3 linked regions of the Elephas maximus indicus genome follow. The protein of the gene in region 1 interacts with the protein of each later gene in a biochemical or structural test. Links are inferred from orthologs where the notes say so. Each region holds a gene or a part of one and is shown in the gene's direction. Other genes may lie near its edges.

The links.
Region 2: the proteins of NPR2 (region 1) and NPPC form a complex in vitro, tested with the Homo sapiens proteins (3 studies listed by BioGRID). The link is inferred for Elephas maximus indicus from reciprocal best matches to the Homo sapiens genes NPR2 and NPPC.
Region 3: the proteins of NPR2 (region 1) and NPPB form a complex in vitro, tested with the Homo sapiens proteins (3 studies listed by BioGRID). The link is inferred for Elephas maximus indicus from reciprocal best matches to the Homo sapiens genes NPR2 and NPPB.

Annotation. Positions count from the first base shown.
Region 1 is NC_064827.1:44,581,261-44,588,994, forward strand, and holds the start of NPR2 (atrial natriuretic peptide receptor 2), read left to right. Parts: upstream 1-4,734; 5' UTR 4,735-5,554; coding exon 5,555-6,221; intron 6,222-7,050; coding exon 7,051-7,256; intron 7,257-7,734. UniProt on the Homo sapiens protein: Receptor for the C-type natriuretic peptide NPPC/CNP hormone. Has guanylate cyclase activity upon binding of its ligand. May play a role in the regulation of skeletal growth.
Region 2 is NC_064824.1:134,186,244-134,193,763, reverse strand, and holds the start of NPPC (C-type natriuretic peptide), read left to right. Parts: upstream 1-4,638; 5' UTR 4,639-4,715; coding exon 4,716-4,805; intron 4,806-5,220; coding exon 5,221-5,508; 3' UTR 5,509-5,528; intron 5,529-7,520.
Region 3 is NC_064821.1:51,724,951-51,731,159, reverse strand, and holds NPPB (natriuretic peptides B), read left to right. Parts: upstream 1-4,362; coding exon 4,363-4,485; intron 4,486-4,730; coding exon 4,731-4,841; intron 4,842-4,931; coding exon 4,932-5,070; intron 5,071-5,680; coding exon 5,681-5,697; downstream 5,698-6,209.

The DNA of each region.
Region 1 (7,734 bases):
GGGTTGCTATGAGTCACCTGATGGCACCCAACAACAACCCAACATAGTTTTGCCTTTCCCAGAGTGTCATATAGCTGGAATCATGCAATACGTAGCCTTTTCAGACTGGGTTCTTTTACTTAGCAATATGCATGTCTTTTTGTGGCTTGATAGCTCTCTTTTTGTTTTTTCATCACATATTTCAACCATATAGAGAGACCAATACAAAGAACACTTGTGTGTATTACCTGCTTTCCAATTTTGTCAAATTTTGCTCCAGATTTCTCCTCTTCCTTGTTTTTGGATCCCAAGTGGCATAGTGGTTAAGAGCTCAGCTGCTAACCAAAAGGTCAGCAGTTTGAATCCACCGGCCACTCCTTGGAAACCCTATGGGGCAGTTCTACTCTGTCCTGTAGGGTCACCATGAGTCGGAATCGACTTGACAGCAACGGGATTTCCCTGTTTTTGGCTTCTCTAGGAAATTCAAAGCAGAGCAGAAGATTAAAATAGTGATTAATACATTTCCATTCTATAGAAACTGTCATAATTATGTTTGTTTTTATGTGAGATATTGCTTGTTTTTATGTGAGATATTTGTAAATTTAGCAAAATTTGAAACGGTGAAGCGAACGCATACTACTTCGTCTCAGTGAAAGATTTTGTGAAGAAAGTGAGATTTTAAGTGGAGCAAGGAAGAAAATATTATATTTGACACTTTATGCTATCATATGCTCCAAGGGGTGGTAAGTGACCACTTGGATTGGTAATAATGGTGAAAGGTGGTAATCAGAACATAGGGAAGCAGCATATGTACCTACCTGGAAGACAGGCCAAGTGTGGGAGAGCAGAGGAGACACTGGGACCTGTCTGGACACTCAAGGAGGTGCAGGCCCAGGCCTGGATGGAACAGATGGGTGAAGTATGGGTTCGTCTGGAGCATGGATCATCATAAGACAAAGATGCATGGTTGCTTCTCCTGGCGATTTTTAAATTCCTCTCTTAGGTATCACTGGCTCTCTCTGAAGCACTTTCCATTGAAAAACGACTTCTATTTTCACAAAGCTGATATCTCTGGCCCTCAGAATATGGTACTAATTCATCTTTTAGAACACACACCTAGGCAGGTAAGTTGAAAGCTAGGACCTGATTTGAAAATATTTCAAATTTTAAAGCTTAACTTACAAAAGTTAAGTTAAAGCTTAACTACAAAAGAAAGCTATGAATGAATTAAAAGTAAAAACATTTGACCCTTCAAACAATAAGAGCAACTCTTTGAGGAGGCTTTCATATGAATGTTTATGAAGAGCACTGGACCCAAGGTCTAGAACCTACTGTGTCCTGCTGCATGGATTGTGAGGGCAGGAGAGAGGTGGAGGGGAGTAGGGTACCTGAGCAGTAATGGGTTGATTGATTTTCAAGATTCTCCCTCGCTGAGGCTAAAAAATAATGTAGAATTTTAATAAACTCTTTCTTTGCCTTCTATATGGTTCACTACCTTTCTTTTATTATACTGCCTCCCCTTCCCCCTTACTGAAATCCATCATTTGAAATGGATCTTTTCTGCCTTATTTTAGCTTACTTTTCATGGCTGTTCTCTGCCCTCTGTTGGCAGGTTCTCTTGGAAGGGTCTTGTGTGCAGGGGATAATTGCATGTAGTCAAAGTATTTTTCTGCAGGTCAGGCTGGTCAAGCAGAGCGAAGACTGAAAGGTGTTTTGTTTTTCTGGAATTCTACAGGCCAGGAGGGCATGCTCTGGTTTAGAGCAAACTTGAAAGTCCAGACTTAGCTGTGAAATCAGGTAAGTTATGAAACTGTTCAGCTCTGACCTGGGAGTCAGTTTAGGACATCAGGACCTACCATGGAGAAGATGAGCACGAGCCTGAACCACATGGTAGCTCCAGAACTCAGCTAAGGTCTTGATGCTCCATTGGCCTGAACATGACTAGGGCTTTGATTTCTTTTCACTAAGGAACAGGCTTGGTGCAATGGCTAAGCGCTCGGCTGTTAACCAAAAGGTTGGTGGTTCAAATCTACCCAGCTCTGTGGGGGAGAAAGACCGAGTAATCTGTTTCCGTAACGATGACAGACTAGAAAACCCTATGGGGCATTTCTACTCTGTCACATGGGGTCACTATGAGTCAGAATTGACTTGATAGCACCCAGCAACAACATAGCAGGAACAACAAGGAAACCATAGCAGCTTCTAGCAGCTAGCCATTAGATGCTCTGGAGTTTAAATCCGGACTAGTAATAAGGTGTTTCGGCTGGCCCTGTCCCAGGAGTCATTATACGGGGGATCTGCGGAGTAGTAAGAAGCCATATCAACCCTACAGAAAGGAAGTTGTACCCTAGCTGGGTGCTGCTCAGGCCAGAAAGATCTGTAGATGGGTTTATATGGGTTGCATGGGTTTCCATGGAGTCACCAAAAACAGTCAAAATCTTATTATCCATATGAATGACGGCAATAATATTTTGGATAACTGGAATATATAGACAAGGAAAGATCTCTTTTATCTAATATTTTCAGCCTTCCCCCAAAAGGGAAAAGAAAAACAAAAATCTTTCACTGGATGCTGATAAGAAACCACATTAAATAATTTAAGTTTCATCTCCCTGCCTGTTCCCACTTTCAAGTCTAAAGGGCCAGTTGGAAAGAAGACGGAGGGTGCAAGATGCTTGAAAGTTTAGTCCCAAAAATAATGCAGAATTTTCCTTAATATTCAGCATAACGACATATCATGAGCTTAAACTTGTCTGGGAGTCTGGGTAAGAGTGATGGCTGGTCTTCACTGGTGTCTATTAGTCAGCAGAATATCTGTGAAGAGCCCTGCCCTAGAGATCAGGAAACTGGATTCTAGTCTGCCATTAAAAACCATGTGGGGGTTAGGGGGTAGCTATGTGACTTCCCTCTTTGGGACTCACTTTTCAATTATCTTTAAATGATGGCATTGCATGATATATTTACAAGATTCCTCCTAGCCCTGACATTCCATAATTCTGGAAGAGGTGGTGACATTTTGACTCTGCTTCTCCCACAAAGCTGTGTGTAGTTGCTTAAAAAGTATGATTTGGTGTATATAAATTTATATGTGAGAGACTGACTTGATTTGTAAACTTTCACTTAAAGCACAATAAAAATTATTAAGAAAAAAAGTATGATTTGGTTGCCTGTCTAATGTTAGACCCATGTCTTTTCAAGGTGTTCTGTCACCCCTCTGTTCCATCCTTCTTTTCCTTGCCCAGGCAGGACAAAATTCCTTTTCACTGTGGCGGTATCACGAGTCTGGAACAAGAGTTACCATCTCTCCGTGTTAAAGGTGGAGCTGTCCTGAGGCTTCTGTTTCTACTGGGCTTGGAGCAAGAAACATCGTCAGGGGGCTTGCCTTTGGCCTCTGAGCCCTGGGAATTGCAACAGCGTGCTCCTAAAGGTAAGGACTTTATTCAGTTTTCTTTGTATTCACCCTTACAACGTGTGCAAGGCACCCCCCTGCTCAATAAATAAATAAATAAATACCTTGGGAGAATAAAATGGCATTGTCCTTCATTTCCACCCCAAAGCCACTAGGTGTCGCCTTCATCTCAGAGAAACTGCGCCCCTCCCTTCTCTCTACCTACACTCCCACCCTCCCCTCCTCTGCTCAGAAAGCTCTCTTAGTTTCTTGACACTGTGATTTCTGGAGGAGTGGATTGAAGGGGGTGATAAACTGTGGCTCTCCGCAGGGGGAGGAGAATGGGTTTATGTGCATCTCCTTTATGACAGTTTGAGGAAAACTCCCCAAGGTCCCATAACAGTTCCTCCCAGCAACCATGATATCATCCTTCACAAGCTGTTCCTCAGATCAGATAAGCACTCCAGAAACGGAGTACCTGGGGTGAGCTCTCTAGGTCAGAAGCTTAGGACAGGGGTGGAACCCAAAGGGGGTGCAGAGGGCTTCCGTTGCAGAGGGAATGCTGTGCTTAGTCAGGCTACAAGCATTTACCAGATGCTGGCTGTGCTGTGGAGGGAGACAAAGAAAGAAGACGCTGTTCCTGGGTGCTGCCCTGGAGCAGATGGTGTGGGGGAAGCCCAGTGGGCTCTGGTGGGCCTCTGAGGACATGGGGGAGGGCACAAGAGGGGACATGGAGACAGGAAGATGGAGATCGGAGGGTTAAGTCCCAGGGAAGGAGACTCAGGACTTAAGAACTCATGAAAAATCTGTCCTTGGAGGCCTGCTGCTTCTGGAGAGAAGCCTGTCTCCCAGTGAGGGGGCATGTCTTACTGAAGGGTGTGAGGTTCGTGATAATTAGAAGGGTGGAATAAGTTTATTAGGTGAAGGACTAGTGAGGATACCAAATATTTGAGAATTCCTGACTGCTTCCTGGAGACTGGAGAGTATGAGGGACTCAGGGGAGTTAAGAGAGGGGACCCTAAGAAGAGCAGGATAGGCAAGGGAGAGAAGAACGTGTGAGATGGCAAGAGGGCGGCGGGCTGGACCAGGGGCTTGGGGAGACAGGGGTAGGCCCCCCGAGTGAGGGGACACCCGGGAAGCACGCCGGCCTGAGAGCCCCTAGTGCAGAGCCCCGGATTTTCACTGGGGTGGCTTTGGGAAATGGGAGGTCCCTGGGTGCCGGGTAGGGGGTGAGAGGGAGACAGCAGGCGCCGGAGGGTGGGGCGGGGAGGGGAGGAGGAGGGGCCGTGGGGGAGGGGGCGGGGGAAGTGGCCGGGCGGGGGCGGGGGCAGGCGGCCTGCCCCGGGAGTCACACTCGGCCGCCGCCGCCGGCGCAGCGAGCGGGGACGGGCCCGGCCGAGGCGACCTGACCCGGACGAGCGGCGCGCACGGGGGCCCAGGCGGGGGGCGGGAGGAAGCGCCGGGCAGCGCCGGCCGCCGGGCCCAGGAGGAGCGGAGCAGAGGAGCTGGGACACGGGCGGAGCCGCCGCAGCTGCGGATGGGACCAGCGCCCAGGGCCCGTTAGTCCAAGCTGGAGCTTCGGGAGAAGCCTTCACGGGGAGATTTACCCCTGCATTCCCCTCCCTCCGGCCCAGGCCTCGCTTCGCTCCCCGCCAGCCCATGGTCCCTGTTCTTCTGCGGCGCGGGCACCCTCTCACCTTACCCCCTTGGTTCTGTTTCTCGCAGCTCTCTGCCCTCCTAGCCCCTTCAGCTGGGAGGTACCCCCAGGCCGGTTCTTTATATCGGCCTCCCCCCCCACCCCCACCCCATCCTAACCTCAGATCCCCTTTTCCTTCTCAGCTTGATTCATCAGGCTACTTCACCCCGCACTGCCCGCAACCCGCTCACAGGCCCCCTTGGTGCCTCCCTCCTCCTGCCACCCTACTCTTATGTACGTAGTCCTCAGCCTTGTCCTTAGCCCTTGCCCTAGGCTGCTAGATCCACTCCTTACCTACCCCTGAGGCTTCCACCCACCCTACCCTCCTCTCCCCAGTCCGCAGCACTTTCTGTGTCCCCGCCCACTTAGCTTATCCTTACTTCTCTTCCTAGCCCCCTTTCCCAGGTGCCAGGCTGGGTGGTGATTGTGCCTCCTCTGTAGGCCACAGCAGCCCCAGGTCCTGGGGGTGGTGGGGCTACTGTTGTATCCCCATGGCACTGCCATCACTCCTGCTGTTGGTAGCAGCCCTGGCAGGTGGGGTGCGTCCTCCCGGGGCTCGGAATCTGACGCTGGCAGTGGTGCTGCCAGAACACAACCTGAGCTATGCCTGGGCCTGGCCGCGAGTGGGTCCTGCTGTGGCACTAGCTGTGGAGGCACTGGGCCGAGCACTGCCCGTGGACCTGCGGTTTGTCAGCTCTGAACTAGATGGCGCCTGTTCTGAGTACCTGGCACCACTGCGTGCTGTGGACCTCAAGCTGTACCATGACCCTGACCTTCTGTTGGGCCCTGGTTGCGTGTACCCAGCTGCCTCTGTAGCCCGCTTTGCCTCCCACTGGCGCCTTCCCCTGCTGACTGCGGGTGCTGTGGCCTCTGGCTTTGCAGCTAAGAACGAGCATTATCGTACCCTGGTTCGCACGGGCCCCTCTGCGCCCAAGTTGGGTGAGTTTGTAGTGACATTGCATGGGCACTTCAATTGGACTGCCCGTGCTGCCTTGCTATATCTGGATGCTCGCACAGATGACCGACCTCACTACTTCACCATCGAGGGCGTCTTTGAGGCCCTGCAGGGCAGCAACCTCAGTGTGCAGCACCAGGTGTATGCCCGTGAGCCAGGGGGCCCTGAGCAGGCCATCCACTTCATCCGGGCCAACGGGCGCAGTGAGTGTGGCTCCGGGCTGTTTCAGGGTCAGGGGAGGAGGGTTGCTGTCACCCTGGAGCTCAGGACTAGGAAACTGCAGTTGAAAATAGGCGTTGAGGGGCTGTACCTGAGGGTTGGGATCAAGAAGCCTACGTGGGCACAGCACCTGTGAGAGGGCTAAGGCACTATGAGGAGAGCATGAAGACGTTGTGGCAGATGTAAAAAAGAAATGAGATGGCATGAGGAATGAAGCTTGTATCAGTGGAGAACATGGGATTTGGGGATTTTGTGTTCAGGAAGCAGTGGGAGTACCCTAGAGTTGTGAATGTGTTTGATGGCCACTCTGATATTTGTGCCTGTCTGTGAGCAGAGATTTCTCAAATTGGGGCACCGAGACCCTTTGGCAGCGTGAAAATAGTGAGGATTCCATAAATGGGCTTGGGGGCTGAGCAGATTTGGTTGGGAAACACAGGTAAAGCTCACACTGAGAGAAACTCTGAGCAATACCTTTGAGCCAAGGCAAAGGCAGAGGAGAGTAGGGGAGTGAGGAGGGCTGAGTGGTGAGTAGCAAGCAAGGCTCTGGGAAAAGGAGGGGCTTGAGGGTGATGGCTCTTTTCCTCTGGGGTCTGGAGTCAGGCTATGACATCTGCCAGATGGTCCATATGGCCTCAGGGTATGTATGACAGAGCCTCCAAGGGGGGAATGACAAGGGGAGCATCTGCTGGGAGGTTGATAGGTTAGGGCGTGCTCTTTCTTGCTAAGATGAAAATGAAGATGACTCAGAGAGGGGACTGTTTGAGGACCTGGATGCTTTCTCAGAGTGCTCCTCTGTCGTGTACCTGTACCCAGTTGTGTATATCTGCGGCCCTCTGGAAATGCTGCATGAGATCCTGCTTCAGGCCCAGAGGGAGAACCTGACCAATGGGGATTATGTCTTCTTTTACCTGGATGTCTTTGGGGAGAGTCTCCGTGCGGGCCCCACGCGCTCTACAGGCCGGCCCTGGCAGGACAACCGCACCCGGGAACAGGCCCAGGCTCTCAGAGAGGCCTTCCAGGTATCATTTGAGCCAAACCTGAAGGAGGAGGGGGAAGAGGTGCTACACTGGAGATTACCTCTCTTTGTCTCTCTCAAAATCCCACAGGAACCCCAGGAACAGGGCAGGAATTCTAAGCTACAGGAGTGAGATGAACAGAGGCTTTCCAAGTCTACTGTCATCCTTTCTTATGTCCCCACCTGAGTGATTCTCAGTGTGTCTGCCAAGACTGACTGATTACCTCCAAAGATCCTGGAGCACTGACTTTCCTAAGTGCCAGGAATAGGCTATATGGTGGGAGAGAACAGTTCAGGAAAAAATCAGTCCCAATCCCTGGGAAGCTTCCAATCTTTCTAGAGAGGCGAGACATGATTGTGGCACAGTTAGATACAAGTATGAGAAAAGATAGGATTATGTGTCCTGGAACAGATGCTAAGAACTTTATATTGCTCAGAGGAGGAAGAGTCTTTGTGGGTTGAGTTTAGGAAGGCTTTATAAA
Region 2 (7,520 bases), on another chromosome or scaffold:
TTTGGGCTGCAGCTTCTGCCCCTCATTGGCCTGTTGACAGCCAGATGGGCAGCAGTTACTCCCCCCAGGAAACTGTACCTATCTGTCAAGGATTAGAAACCTTTCCCGTGTATTATTCTTCTTGAAAAGAAAAAAAAAAAAAAAAAAAAAAGGCGGGGTAAACTCTGACGTCATGGGCCTGCGTATATCAGCAGAGTTGGAGGCCGTCTGGAGCAGGTGCTGGGCAGGGCCCCTGGGAAAGGGGAAAAGGGCAGCTGGCTGATCAGGTGGGGGTGTTCTGGGGCCAGACGAAGACCTCCTGGCACGATGAGAGGTTAACCTATCCTGAAGTCCTGGCCTGGAAAAGATGGATGACTCTTTCTTGGCCTCTGGCTCCCCTCTTAAGGCCAGGCCCCAGAGGTGCAGGGCTTATGGGGGAGGCTGGCAGCTTGGGGAAGCCCCCCTCACCGATGGTCCCAGAGAGTCTGGGGGCTCCGGATCCTCCCGCCTGGTAATGCATGAATCCCCGCAGTAACATTCAAATCCCTCTTCTGCTCCAGCTGCTTCCTCCTGCCTTCGTCCAGGGCTGGGATCCCTCTCCCCGGGCCCCCTGACTCTCTCTGCCCTGACCAGAAGGCAAAGACCACCTTTTCCCAATTACAGGTGGTGAAACACAAGGCCCCGCTGAGGGACAGAACTTGGCCAGGGCTCTGCTGCGATTGCCCTGCTCACTGCCTGTTTAGTGTCCTCTCTAAGAAGTTGCACAGCTGGAAGGGGCCCCTGGGATGAAATACAGAGAAAACAGATGAGCGGCTGAGAACTTGCCATGCTTCGACCGGGCCAGAAGGGGGCGCTCCTTTGCAGGCGCTCACCAGGACTCCTGGGAGAGCGGGCAGGACAATCCTGACATAGCCCCCTTGCTGGGCCTCCCAGAAGCCCTGGGGAATAACTCCCTCACCGGAGGCGCCTGCATTAGGTCTCACATCAGGCTCGGCTAACTGCCTGGATGTCAAGTGTGCCAAGGAAGGGCCCCTGGGTGGCAAGGCCCTGCAAGAGGGGAAAGAGAGAGGAAGCAGCCCACAAGAATACGGTCTCTTCTTTCCACGTACCCCCACCTCTTCAGAGGCCAGGAGGGAGACGGGGTCCCAGCCATGAGGGCTCTGATACCTGGGGCTTGGCACACTTCAGTCTCTCTCTGACTTTCCCTACTGCCTGCTCCTTCTCTGCCCCCACCCACTCACCCCAACCCACCACTTTTCCTTTCATTCTCTCCATGCCCTCTCCCCCAACAGGCTTGTTGCCCACGCCCAACAGCACAAGGCTGCCACCCCTGGGAGACCACCCCCCCCACACCTCCCTATCACATCTCCTTCCTCCAAAATGCTGCAGACCACCTTAGGCTGGCCTCTCCCCATGCCCGGCTCCTTGGACACCTCTACCTGAGACCTTCTGCTGTTCCTACAACTGGCAAGCAGAGTGTGGCCACTTCCCTGGCCTTCTTGTTTCCCTCAGTTTCTCATGGTGGCCCTTTGGCGAGGCCTCTTATTGGACTTTTTCTTTGGGCACTTGTGGTGCCCCTCTAAGCCCCAGGTGCTGAGGGAGCCATGGCTGACCCACAGGGAGTCTGCTTTTCATCTGGGTCTTCTTCTGCTCCGCTCTTCTCTCAGGGCCTGCGGGCCATGTCTCCAGGCTCAGCCCGGCCTTACCCTTCTCCAGGAAGCCCACCGGCCACCCCAGGGTAGAGGCAGACCCACCTGGGGTGTCCACAGCCCTATGTCATTGTCCTTTTCATCTTACAAAGCAAGCGTCAGTTTCTGGGGGTTCTTCCTGCTGAAACCAGCTCTGGAGCACTGGACTTTCCTCATGGGTGCAGGCTGCAGGGACGAGGGTGTGGGCTGCAGGGACGAGGGTGTGGGCTGCAGGGAATCAGCAAGGTCACTGAGGCCCAACAGACTTTTTCCCTCCTTTACCAGCAGAAGGCGTTGTAACACTGAGCATTCAATAAAGTGTCCCAATGACCTATGCTCAGCTGCACAGTGGGTCCATCTCTTCCAGCCAGGCCTCTGTCATGATCCCATGAGGGAAAAGCAGCAAGAAAGGGCCTGAGCCTTTCTCTGCAGCTCACCCTTGAGAGGAACCCAAAATCCCCTTTGGGGGGCCCTGCAAGAGGGCAAATCCCAAAGGCGAAATCTTCAGTCTCCAAGTAAGTCATGTGCTGGTTACTTCCTTTCCTGGAAGTCCCTCTAGGTCACCCCACAGACTTCGCTGACCCACCCCACCTCCCAGGTCAGCTAAGCAGGAGCTGCTCCCCAACTGGCCCCCGGGGAGCCTCCCAGTTGCAGTTAACCCCTCCAGGGTGTGCTCTGCCCCAAATGGCCCCAGCCTACTGGTCAGAAGTGGGGGCTTGCCAGATGATTCCCCTCCCAAAAAGGGTGATAGAGTCCAGGGTGCTGGCTCTGCCCTCTCTGGGGTTGGGTGGGGGTTGGGTGTTCTAATCTAGACCCAAAGCTCAGAGAGGGAAGACCTAGACATCTGCTAGTTCCCCACCAAGTGCATCCAGGAAACAGAGGATATGAAGAACAACTAACAGACATTTAGGCAGAAGGAGGTGACCTCCTGTACTTAAGGGTGGGCTTGAGAGTGTGTGGCCACTGCCCCCCAACCCCCCATGCCAGACTGGTAGCTGTCTCAAGACTGAATGGCTGGGCTCTTTAAACCTGTATAAATAAAGCAAGTCTCCGAGAAGTTCCAATGGTGAGATTCCTCTCTGTCCAGGCGGCAGAGAAGAGGGAATTTCCACAGCACACCCCAAGCTCCCTCTCCTCCCCCCCTCATTTTGCTCCTTTTTCTCCTCAAATGATAGAGTCCTGCCACCCTGCAGGTGTTAAGGTGGAGAGGCAATCAGGGCAGGCTGCCTGGAAGTGGTGAGTCAACACCCCAGGGCCCACACAGGATGCCCTGCTGGTGTCAGGATCCTCCTGCAGGTCTGGGGACTCTGCTGCTTCAAACTCAGGCCCCAGGTGTATTTTATTTGCTCAACAAAGGGACCTAGGATCCAGGTGGTCTGGAGATTCCCACTCAGGGTGCAAGTGTGGGAAGGGGTGAGCCAAAGCAGGGGCTGAGGCCCAGACAACGGTACTGCTGCTTCCCTGGTTCCAGTTCTGGGCTGCAAGGCCAGCAAAAGCCACAGCAGGGCACCTGGTCTTCCAGGCCCCTCTTCACTCCAGCCTCCCTCCCTCCGGGGGTGCAGCTTCCTCTCGCTGAAAAAGCCTATCCTTGTTCCTGAGTCCCGTGGGGTGATCTTCACACCTGGGTACTGCCACCACATCCCCATAGCGACAACTGCATTTATTCTTCCTTCTCTAATCCGAATTCTGCTCGGAGGCAGCATGGGCATAGATAGATGAGCGCATCTCACCCAATTCTTGGGGTACCAGGATCCCCGCTTCTGCAGTCCGTCCCGAGAGACTGACTCCCTGGGGCCCGAGAAGCCTTACCCAAGGAGAGTGAGTCGTGAGCCGCACGGATGCGCGGCTGTGTCCCGACAGCCAGCCGTGACGGGGCCTCTCTATGGCCAAGAACGCAAAGGCTACAACCTGTTCGGTTCACGGAGGCCAGGCGCGGTTTGAGTCCGGGTGGAGCTCCCTGCCTAGCCTGTGAGGGAGCACAGGACACTGGAGTGGACATCCCCACGTTGCGGGTTCTCGAGTGGGCTCAGGCAGAGTTCGCCGCACCCTGGCCCAAGCAGATCAAACCCACCCCCACGGGTATGCGGCGGGGACGTTCTGTGCGGTGGCCAGAGTGAGCTTGGAGCCACAGCGGGGACACACACTGCGCCGCGCACACGCAAGAGGGCACCGTATCCCGGGCCTGCCTTTGCAGGCCCCTCTTCCTGTCTCCGCGTGCTCGCGCGCGCGCGCGCACACACACACACACACACACACGCCCACGCGCAAGGTTTGCGCTCTTCCTGCAGAAGACTGGCGCTCCCCCCTGCGGCCCGGGCAAAGCCCGCTCTCCCAGCGCCTCCTACCCGGATGTCTGGCCAGATCCTCCGCTGCTGCCCCTACCCTACAGCGTCGGTGCGGCAGGAGCGTCCCTGACTAGCAGGTGGAAGACGCAGCCGAAGTCCCTGCCAGCGCCCATCAGGTGCCCAGGGACGAGTTTGGCAACAAGGCAGGTCTGCGTGGATTTCGCGCTCCGCCAACTTTCTGACTGTGTGACTTTGGGCAAGTGACTTCATTCCTCGGAGCCTGTCCTTGCACCTGCAAGGAGGAAAACTGGTCCCTTCCAGGTGGAGCGCGGGGTGATGAGGCATGAGTGCAGGCGCAGGGCAGGGGCGCACCAGGTTGGGCACGCCAGGGCGCGCGCGCTGCAAATGGAGCTCCCTTTCGCGCGCCGCCTTGCAGCTCTGAGTGCTGCGGGAAGCGAGCCCGCCGAGCCTGTGGTCCCTCGGGGCTGGGATAAAGGTGGCGGCGGAGGGGGAGCATCCGCGGCCCCCTCCTGGCCCCAGGGCGGCCGCGTGCACCGTGCCATTGGCCGGGGCAGCCGGGTGGGCGGGCGGATGACATCAGCGGCAGGTTGGATTATAAAGGCGGGAGCGCAGCTGCGGACTCTGAGCGCACCCAGCCGGCGCCTCACAGCACTGAGACCCGCGCCCGCCCGCAGCCCAGCCCGCCTCTCCGCGCTCGCCCGCTCTCCTGCAGGCCTCACACGTCCTCGACCCAGCGGGCACCATGCACCTCTCCCAGCTGCTGGCCTGCGCCCTGCTGCTCACGCTGCTCTCGCTCCGGCCTTCCCAAGCCAAGCCCGGGGCGCCACCGAAGGTGAGTGCTGTCGCGGGGACCCCAGGCCTGCGCGGGGCAGGGGTCCCGGGAGGATGTGGCGCGCAGAGGGTAATAGAGGAGGCGGCCCTGTCCCCCGAGCTGTGCGCGATGAGAGCCGTAAGCCCTCGATGCCCGGACTCAGGATGGACTTCCCAGCTCCGGGAGACTTTGACAGAGGCGCAGCCCGGGACCCAGTGTGGCCAACGGGCGAAGGGCGAAGGAGGGAAGGGCAGGGGATCCCCGAAGGGTGGACAACCGTGGCCGCATGGCAGGTGGATGAGGGGCAGACCTGTCCGGCATCACAAGTGACAAACCGCGCTGGCGGATGCTTCTGGCCAGAGCATCACGGGCCCCGCAAAGGCCCCCGCGCAGCCACCGCGCTTCCCTGCACCTGCCTACTCTTTTCCTCCGACAGGCCCCACGCACCCCGCCGGGAGAGGAGGTGACCGAGACCCAGGCTTCAGGTGGCGGTCAGAAAAAGGGCGACAAAGCTCCCGGGGGCGCCAATCTCAAGGGTGACGGATCGCGACTGCTCCGGGACCTGCGCGTGGACACCAAGGCGCGGGCAGCGTGGTCTCCTCGCCTTATGCACGAGCACCCCAACGCGCGCAAATACAAAGGAGGCAACAAGAAGGGCTTGTCCAAGGGCTGCTTCGGCCTCAAACTGGACCGGATCGGCTCCAGGAGCGGCCTGGGATGTTAGTGCAGCGACCCCTGGCGGCGGTGAGTACGCCAGTCTGGCCGCCCTGCGCTCCAGACGCCCTGCGCCCGGGCACCGTCATACCCAGTCCTTATCCCCGCCCGCAGGCCCGGTCCCCTTTGATCCTAGGGCAGTCCTTGCAGACCCCTCCCCCGGTCACTAGCAAGCCTCTAGAGGGGAGCCAAGCCACCCGGCCTGAGTGTGGGCTTGGCACTGGGCAGTGCTCTCCCCTACCCCCAGCCCATTATTCCATTTTACAGATAAAGAAAGTGAGGGATAAAGTGGTCAGGGAAGTGTGGCAAAGTCAGTAATGACAGCCTGGCGGAGCTCACCTGGCTGCTTCTAGAGAGGCCGAGAGGTTTGATGGAGTGATATCCACCTCCACACCAGCAGCATCAGCCCCGGTTTGTCAGTTGAGGAGTGGAAGGAAGATCATGAGTTTGTGGGAACAGAAGAAAAGGGGATATACACAAACCAGGAGTAAGCCTGTCTGCCAGCCACTCTGTGGATGGTGCCCAGGGTAGCGGGCAGCCAAGTGGTCAGGGCTGCTTCTGGGTCAACTGGCCCTCAACCCCCCAACTGGCAAATTTATCTTCGTAAAGATTACAATGGGCAAGATGCGTGCCCCCTCACAGTAGGCAGAAGAACCCTCGTTGGCATTGACCAGGGAGCTCAGCTGGCTGGGACATTTTCATTCTTGTCCCATGTCTAAACCGTGACTGCTGGCAGACTAGCCTGTCCAGGGTCCTGATGCTGCTGCAGCCGCGGTGAATTCAGGTGAATCTCAGCATTCCTGACCCTATTTCAGGGCAAGGAAAGGAAAAGACTAAGATAAACCTTTACTTTTGTCCCAACCTCAAACTCACCATGTCCCACACTGAGTTCCAAGCCAACCCTGGCTCCCAATCACACTTCTAGCCTCCCTTTTTCCAGCACGGCCTCCTCACCTTCTGCCAGGCCTGGAAACCTCTGTGCTTCGTCAGCTGCTGCCAGGTGCTGCGTCCTGGCAATTGACTGCTACAAAGATACTTGCCCCCTCTCCTTCCCTCTTCTCCATTCCTGCCACCCATCAGCGTCCACTGAATAATGTCCCACCCTCTAGAGCTTCAGGACCAAACCCCTGTTGGTTTCCAGCCTTGTCTCTTGCTGCCATTTCCTGTCCCATGCTCAGGCCATGGGAGGCTGGTCCCTTCACACATAAAATTTTGTCCATGTCCATGTGGCTTCCCTCAGTGGAAAACAAAGAGCACCCTCTATCAGCCTCTCCGGCAAATTGCCTAGGCTTTTTTTTTAATAGAACCAAGGTCCCTGGGTGGCAAGCAGTTTGCACTCAACTACTAAAGATTGGTTGTTCGAACCCACCCAGCGGCACCATGGAAGAAAGGCCTGGCAATACTCTAAGGAGCAGCTGTACTCTAACAATGGGATCACCGTGAGCAGGGACCTAACTACAGAAAATAGTGCCCAAGACAATTAGTGTTAAATTGCTGAATGATCTCTCACAGCTGGCGAGGGAAACCGTGATGGCCGATAGAAACTGCTAACAGGTGCCCTGCCTCCAGCGGCGCCCAGGGCACACATGCAATACCCAGGGCACATGGCCTACCTAACCCCTCCCCCGACCCCAGTTAGGCCTTTGGCCATGAGTCAGAATCAATTTGATGCAATAGATTTGGTTTGTCTTTGTTTTTTATAGCACAGGACACTTTTTCACTGTAGGTGTAGTTGTTTCTGAACCTACTCACTTCCCCACACTGACTTGTGAGTAGCCTGGGAGCTAGAAGCTAGCCTAAGACAATTGAGGCCCCACAGCACCCCCCAAAATGACCGGAGAAACCTGCCGCCCTCAGCTTTCAGGTGCTCCTCTCCACCTGCCCTAGATTTCAGCTTGTTCCCTTCCTTTTTTCCTGGCCCAGCTGTGTGCTTCTCCCCCATCCTGCAGGGTCTTCTGCCATCTGTGACCTGGACTTGGGCCTTGCACAGGAAGCAGAATGGTTCGGGCACTCAGGGCCCAG
Region 3 (6,209 bases), on another chromosome or scaffold:
CACCCATCCCACCCAATTCTGCCCAGTCCGACCTCCAAGTACCTGCTGACTAAGAGGGAGAAGCAAGCAAGCAATCTTTTTTTTATTATTGAACTTTAGATGAAGGTTTACAGAACAAACTAGCTTCTCATCAAACAGTACACACATTGTTGTATGACATTGGTTAACAACCCCACCACATGTCAGCACTCTCCCCTCTCAGCCCTGGGCTCCCTATTACCAGCTGTCCTGTTCTCTCCTACCTTCCAGGCCCTGCCCCAGGCTGGTGCGCCCCTTTAGTCTTGTTTTGTGCCACCGGACTGTTTAATCTTTGGCTGAAGCATGAACCTCAGGAGTGGCTTCATTACTGAGCTGAAAGGGTGCCCAGGGGGCTACTCTCAGAGCTTCTCCAGTCTCTGTCATGCCAGCAAGTCTGGTCTTTCTTTTTGAATTAGAGTTTTTGTTCTACATTTTTCTCCAGCTCTGTCTGGGACCCTCTATTGTGATCCCTGTCAGAACAGTCAGTGATGGTAGCCCGGCATCATCTAGTTGTACTGGACTCAGTCTGGTGGAGGTCGTGGTAGATGTGGTCCATTAGTCCTTTGGACTAACCTTTCCCTTATGTCTTTAGTTTTCTTCATTCTTCCTTGCTCCCGAAGGGGTGATACCAGTGGAGTATCCTAGATGGCCGCTCACAGGCTTTTAAGACCCTAGACACTACACACCAAAGTAGAATGTAGAACATATTCTTTATAAACTCTGTAGCAAGCAGGCAATCTTGACCCTCACTCCACCACAGGTTGGCCAGTTTAGCAAATAGGAATACACGACATCTGGTTAAATTTGAATTTCAGGTAAACAACAGATACTCTTTTAGTATGAGTAAGCCCCAGCTGGAGCACAGAATTGGAGGTGCTGGTGTGCTCCTCACAGGTGTGCAGCAGGAAGTGTACAGGTACAGGAAGCCCCAGGACAGCAGCCCCCGGCAGATGCTTGTTAATGCCAGTCTAGGCAGAAGGAGAGGATGGGTTAAGTAGGGAACCCTAGAATGGGAAGGGCCAGGGGCCAAGCCTGTCCAGGGTCTGCTCCTACCTGCGAAGTCAGCTGCTGCCCCAGGATCAGCCTGTGTGGGCCACACAGCATCTCTCCAGGGACTCCTGTACCTGGCTTTTCTGTGTCCCTGGAACCCAAACTGGTCCTTTAGTTGGTGGGCCTGTGCCACCCAAATCAGGCTTAGCCTGGGCCAAGCCAGGTGGCCCGATCAGGCCTGTGGAGGTCAAGTGTAGCATCACTGTGGTCTTGCCCCCACCCCATAGGACACTGGGGGCAGACCCCAGCTCCCTGCTGAACTAGCAGCAACAGAGAATGATTGTCACATCTCATTTCCAGGTTGGTGGCTCTGAGCTGAGATGTGCCCTTAACCTTTCCTTCGCCAGGAAGGAGGTGAGTTGCCTGTGGGTTGAGCTACCACTGTCACCGCAACAGCCTTTACTGAGGGCTTACTATGTGCCAGGTACTATGCTCAGCATTTTACATAGACCGTATTAGTTTCCTATTGCTGCTGTAACAAGTTGCCACCAACTTAGTGGCTTAAAACAACACGAATTTATCTTACAGTTCTGATGACCCGAAGTTTGAAATCAGTTTCAATGGGCTAAAATCAAGGTGTTCCTTTTGGAGATGCTAGGAGAGAATCCATTTCCTTGCTATTTCTAGCTTCTAGATACCACCTGCAATCCTAGGCTGGTGGCCTCTTCCTTCATCTTCAAAACCAGCAGCGTGGCATCTTCTCTCCTCTCTGACCTCTGCTTCTATTCGTATGTCTTCTCTCAATGATTTTGATCCTTTTGCCTCCGTCTTATAAGGATCCTTGTGATTACATTGGGCCCAGCGAGATAATCCAGGATAACTCCCCATCTTGAGATTCTTAAGCACATTTGCAAAGTCCCTTTTACCATGTAAGGTTAACATAATCATAAATTCCAGGGATTAGGATTTGGACACCTTTGGGGGAATGTTACTGAGCCTGCCACATGTACCATCTAATTTAATCCTTGTACAGTAATGCTATGACATATGTGATATCATTACCCTCAATTAATAGAGCTGGAAAGTGTATGGCATACAGTAGGCACACTCAGTATTAAGTTCAGTGTCTTCTCTAAAATCTTCCACAATCCCCTTCACTGGGATGGCTCCTTCCTGGCCTGATGGGGCAGGTGGAGGCTCTGTCAGAGTGTTTAGCACTTAATTGTTTCCCCTGGAGTTACTCTGTCTTCTCAGCAATATCACAAATCCTTTGGTGTAGGGACCAACTCTCACACATATTTCTAATTATTTGGTTCTTTTCACACTGCCAAAGTCTTTTACAGACATCATTTTCTCACTTTTATTTATCTTCCAAGGATGCAGAGCACCATTATACCCAATTTGCAGAAGAGAAAAGTAAGGTTCAGGCTAGATAGTGTCAGTGCTTGAGAGGTGCTGGTTGGCTGCTGTCTTTCTCCCGACCCTTCCCTTCATGATGCCCAATGTGAGGGACCCTCTACACTCTTTGCAGTTCCCAGTCCTCTACTCAGCTCTTCACTTTGTTGGATTCTGTTGCCTCCCCTCTATTCTCAGTGAATCTTTGGATATTCCTCTTGTGGTATGCATGTGCACACACACACACACTGGCCCAGCCCCTAGAACCTCCTAACCCTTCCCCCTCTCCCATCCTCATCTGTAAAACACTCATCTTACCCACAGTTAACATCCTTCCCCTGCACACACAGCCACCAGACTCACCCCACCCCCTCTAGCACAGCTCCCTATACCTTCACAGATGACAATGAATTAATTTTTTTTCTAGTAGAAACCCTTTGCAGTCACCCTAGCAGTGATTAAGAGCTTCAGGTCTGGAATCAGACTGCCTGGATTGGAATCCGGGCTTCACCACTTGTCAATTGTGTGGCCTTAAGAAAGGTGATAAATTCCTCTGAGTTGTTTCTTCATCTGAAAAGTGGGAATATCAGTATTCTTTCCTACTTAACACTTGGCAACTGCTTTTTTTAGGCAAGAGTTGCTTAGGGGCCCAAGCTTCTTGCTGCCCTTCCCCCCATCTGTCATAACTTATCTTCCTTCCTGTACAGCCCTATACATTCACCCTGCTTCTTGTTAACATAAATTCTCTGGAAGGGTGTTGACATTAGTCATGCACACTTTAGGGGAGGTTTAAGCAGCTGTTTCTCTTCCCAGAGCCAATTTTTGGAGCCCTATTTCTGATTACAGGTGGCAAGTCCACCTGTGCTCCCATCTGCTAATGGGAATTAGGTAATGAATAATCATATGGAGGAGGAATTGGGGGGGACTCTCCATACACCTTGTCCCACCAAATAGATAACCATCCTTCCACCCATCACCTCTTTTTCCATCATGTGTCTTGGTTGGTGGAGGAGAGGAGGTGTTGGCAACTGGAGGACCAGCGATAGAAGGCATTCCTGGATGACTTCATCTCAGGGGCCTTGCCTCTCAAAATTCCAGCCGAATCAGCTCTACCCTTTAAGGGATAGAAGAAAGGTCAACATTCCAGAAGTTCCTTGTCATACCCAGGCATTTAATTAGATGATATTGGGGGGGTCAGCATCCCAGTGCTGTAAGGCTCGAGGGGAGTGGGAGTAAGACGGTGAGAAGGGGTCTTAGAGATCTCTTGCCCCTGCCCCGTGCAGGTCTTTCTGGGCGGGAAACCCCATGAGAACCAGACTTCATGAGTAGAGTTTGAGCAAAGTTCGAGGTCAGCACCACGGACAGCGGTCGGCGCTCCGGTACTCGCAGCCGGGCTGGGCGTAGGAACTCCGGCGAATTGCTGAGTTACAGGCGGGAGGGGAGGTGGGGGAGATGTCCGGTGTTTGGCGTTGTTCTCACTCTGAGTCACCGTGCTCCCCGCGCTAGCGTCGAACTTTAGGATGCTGGAGTTCTTCCTACCCTCTCCAGGAATGCTTGGGGGTGGAGAGCGGAGGAGATGGAGCCATGCCTTGGCCCTTGGATTTTTGCAGGAAAGAAAGAATCAGGAGAGACAAGGAACCTGTTGGTGTCCACCACGAGTTCCCGTCCGGGCCCTGCCCATTTCTGTACAAGGCCTGTCCTCCCCAGCCTCCACCCCCAGGGAGTACTAGTACCAGACCCTGAAGGGAGCATGCCTGGGCCCTGAGATCAGCGGGTCGGAATGCAGCTGATAAAGCACAGATAACCCAGGAGGGCAGGACAGACCCTGCTCCCAGCACGGGGATAAAAGGCTGTGGTTGCCCAGGAAGCCAGGAGAGCGCCTGTGGACCTCAACAGGTGGGACTGCAACCGGGGCTCTGAGCAGCCACAGCAGCAGTAACCCCCGCCTGGCTCTTCGACATGGACCAGACCGCGCTGACCCGGGCACTTCTGCTCCTCCTGTTCCTGCACCTGTCGCCTCCGGGAGGTCATTCCCACCCTCTAGGTGGCCCTGACCTGGACTTGGAACTGCCCGGGTTACAGGTGAGCACTGCGAAACTGTAGATACAGCCAGCTGGGAGAGTGTTCCTGTAGCAGCAAAGAACTGGTCCACACCTCTTGTTCCAAGGAATCCCCACCTTCCTGTGGGAGTTAGTGAAAAAGGAATCAGGAAGCAGTGAGACTGGGTGCTAGGACACCCTACCCAAGCAGTTGGTTCACATGTGCTCCATGGAGGGGGTGCTGAGGGAGTGGGGGTTACTGAGGCTCGGGCTCCCCACCCATCACAGAAGCTGTTGGACCATTTGCAGGACACGGTCTCTGAGGTGCAGACGGAGCCAGTGATCCTGGAGCCCGTCCAGCAGGGCCATAGCCCTGTCGAAGCCGGGGAGGCCCAGGAGGTCACGGTCTCTGAGGTGCAGACGGAGCCAGTGATCCTGGAGCCCCTCCAGCAGGGCCATGGCCCTGTCGAAGCCGGGGAGGCCCAGGAGGTATCCCCGATGGGTGTCCCCCAGCCTCAAATCCCTGAGGCCCAGGGGAGACTACCCAGCCCCAAGATGATGAGCGATTCTGGCTGCTTTGGGGGGAAGATGGACCGCATTGGCTTCCACAGCCGCCTGCGCTGCAATGGTGAGTCCCCAACTTAGCACTCAACAGGAATGCTGCACACCCACCCCATTCTTACACTGTCCACACTTCCATACACTTCTGGGTTTTTTGTTTCTGGGGGCCACCAAAAAACCCAAACCAAACCCGTTGCTGTAGAGTGGATTCTGACCCATAACAACCCTATGGGGGCCACAGTCTTTGCAAAAAGGGCACCTGGACACATCACTCCCTCTTGCTGAGACCTTAGGGTCAAGGGGTGCCTTTCTAGAAATATTAAATACGGGCACCATTCATTGCCATCCTCATGAGCCCCACCCACCTCTCATCATCTCTCTTACCAAAAGGGGCAGAATTAACTTAGAGTGGACCCCATTCATTGTCTGGCAGCCCCTATCTGGAAGGGCCCCAGATATCCTTTCTCCTGGTTTTCTCAGGGCTACTATTACACCCACTTTACAGATGAAGAAAATGAGGCCCACCCACAGAGATCAATTGTTCCAAGGCTTCAAACATCAAAATCAGCCAAGGGCTGGGGGTGGGTGGCAGGGACGGGACATGGTGAGGGGACACTCAGATCCTGCCTCAGTCTTCTAGCCTAAAGATATAATCACTCTCTCTCTTCTCCCCACAGTGCTGGGGAGCCCTTAAGAGGAAGTCCTGGCCTCAGGCATCTGCCTCTGATCCTCCAGCTGGTCTTTCCCCAACCCTGTGATCCCCTTCAATGACTCCTATTTATTTATCTTTATTTATTTGGTTATTTTACAAAGATGGTTTCTTACTTTTGAGCACACGATTTCCATGGAGAAATAAAGTCAACATTATAGTGTTATCTTTTGAAACTAATTTGTCTCTGGGCATTAAAAGAATAATTTCCAAAAAACAGAACAAAACCCTGTGTTTTCTTGAAGGCGTCTTGATGGTGAGGTGGGGACACTAGCCTTAAGGGCTGGTTAAGCTGGGTGGGAGGGTGTCTTTCTTTAAGGGTTTTTCACGCTCTGAAATGTCTACAAACATCTCAAGCACTTGAGACACTTGGCAGAAACTGCTTTTCAAAGCAGGGCCGTTTCTTCCTGGGAGAGAAATGGGCACGACAGATTCACACAACAGAGTCACACAAGTGAGGGTGTATGTCCGCAAGTCTGCCCCACTAGTCAGCCCTT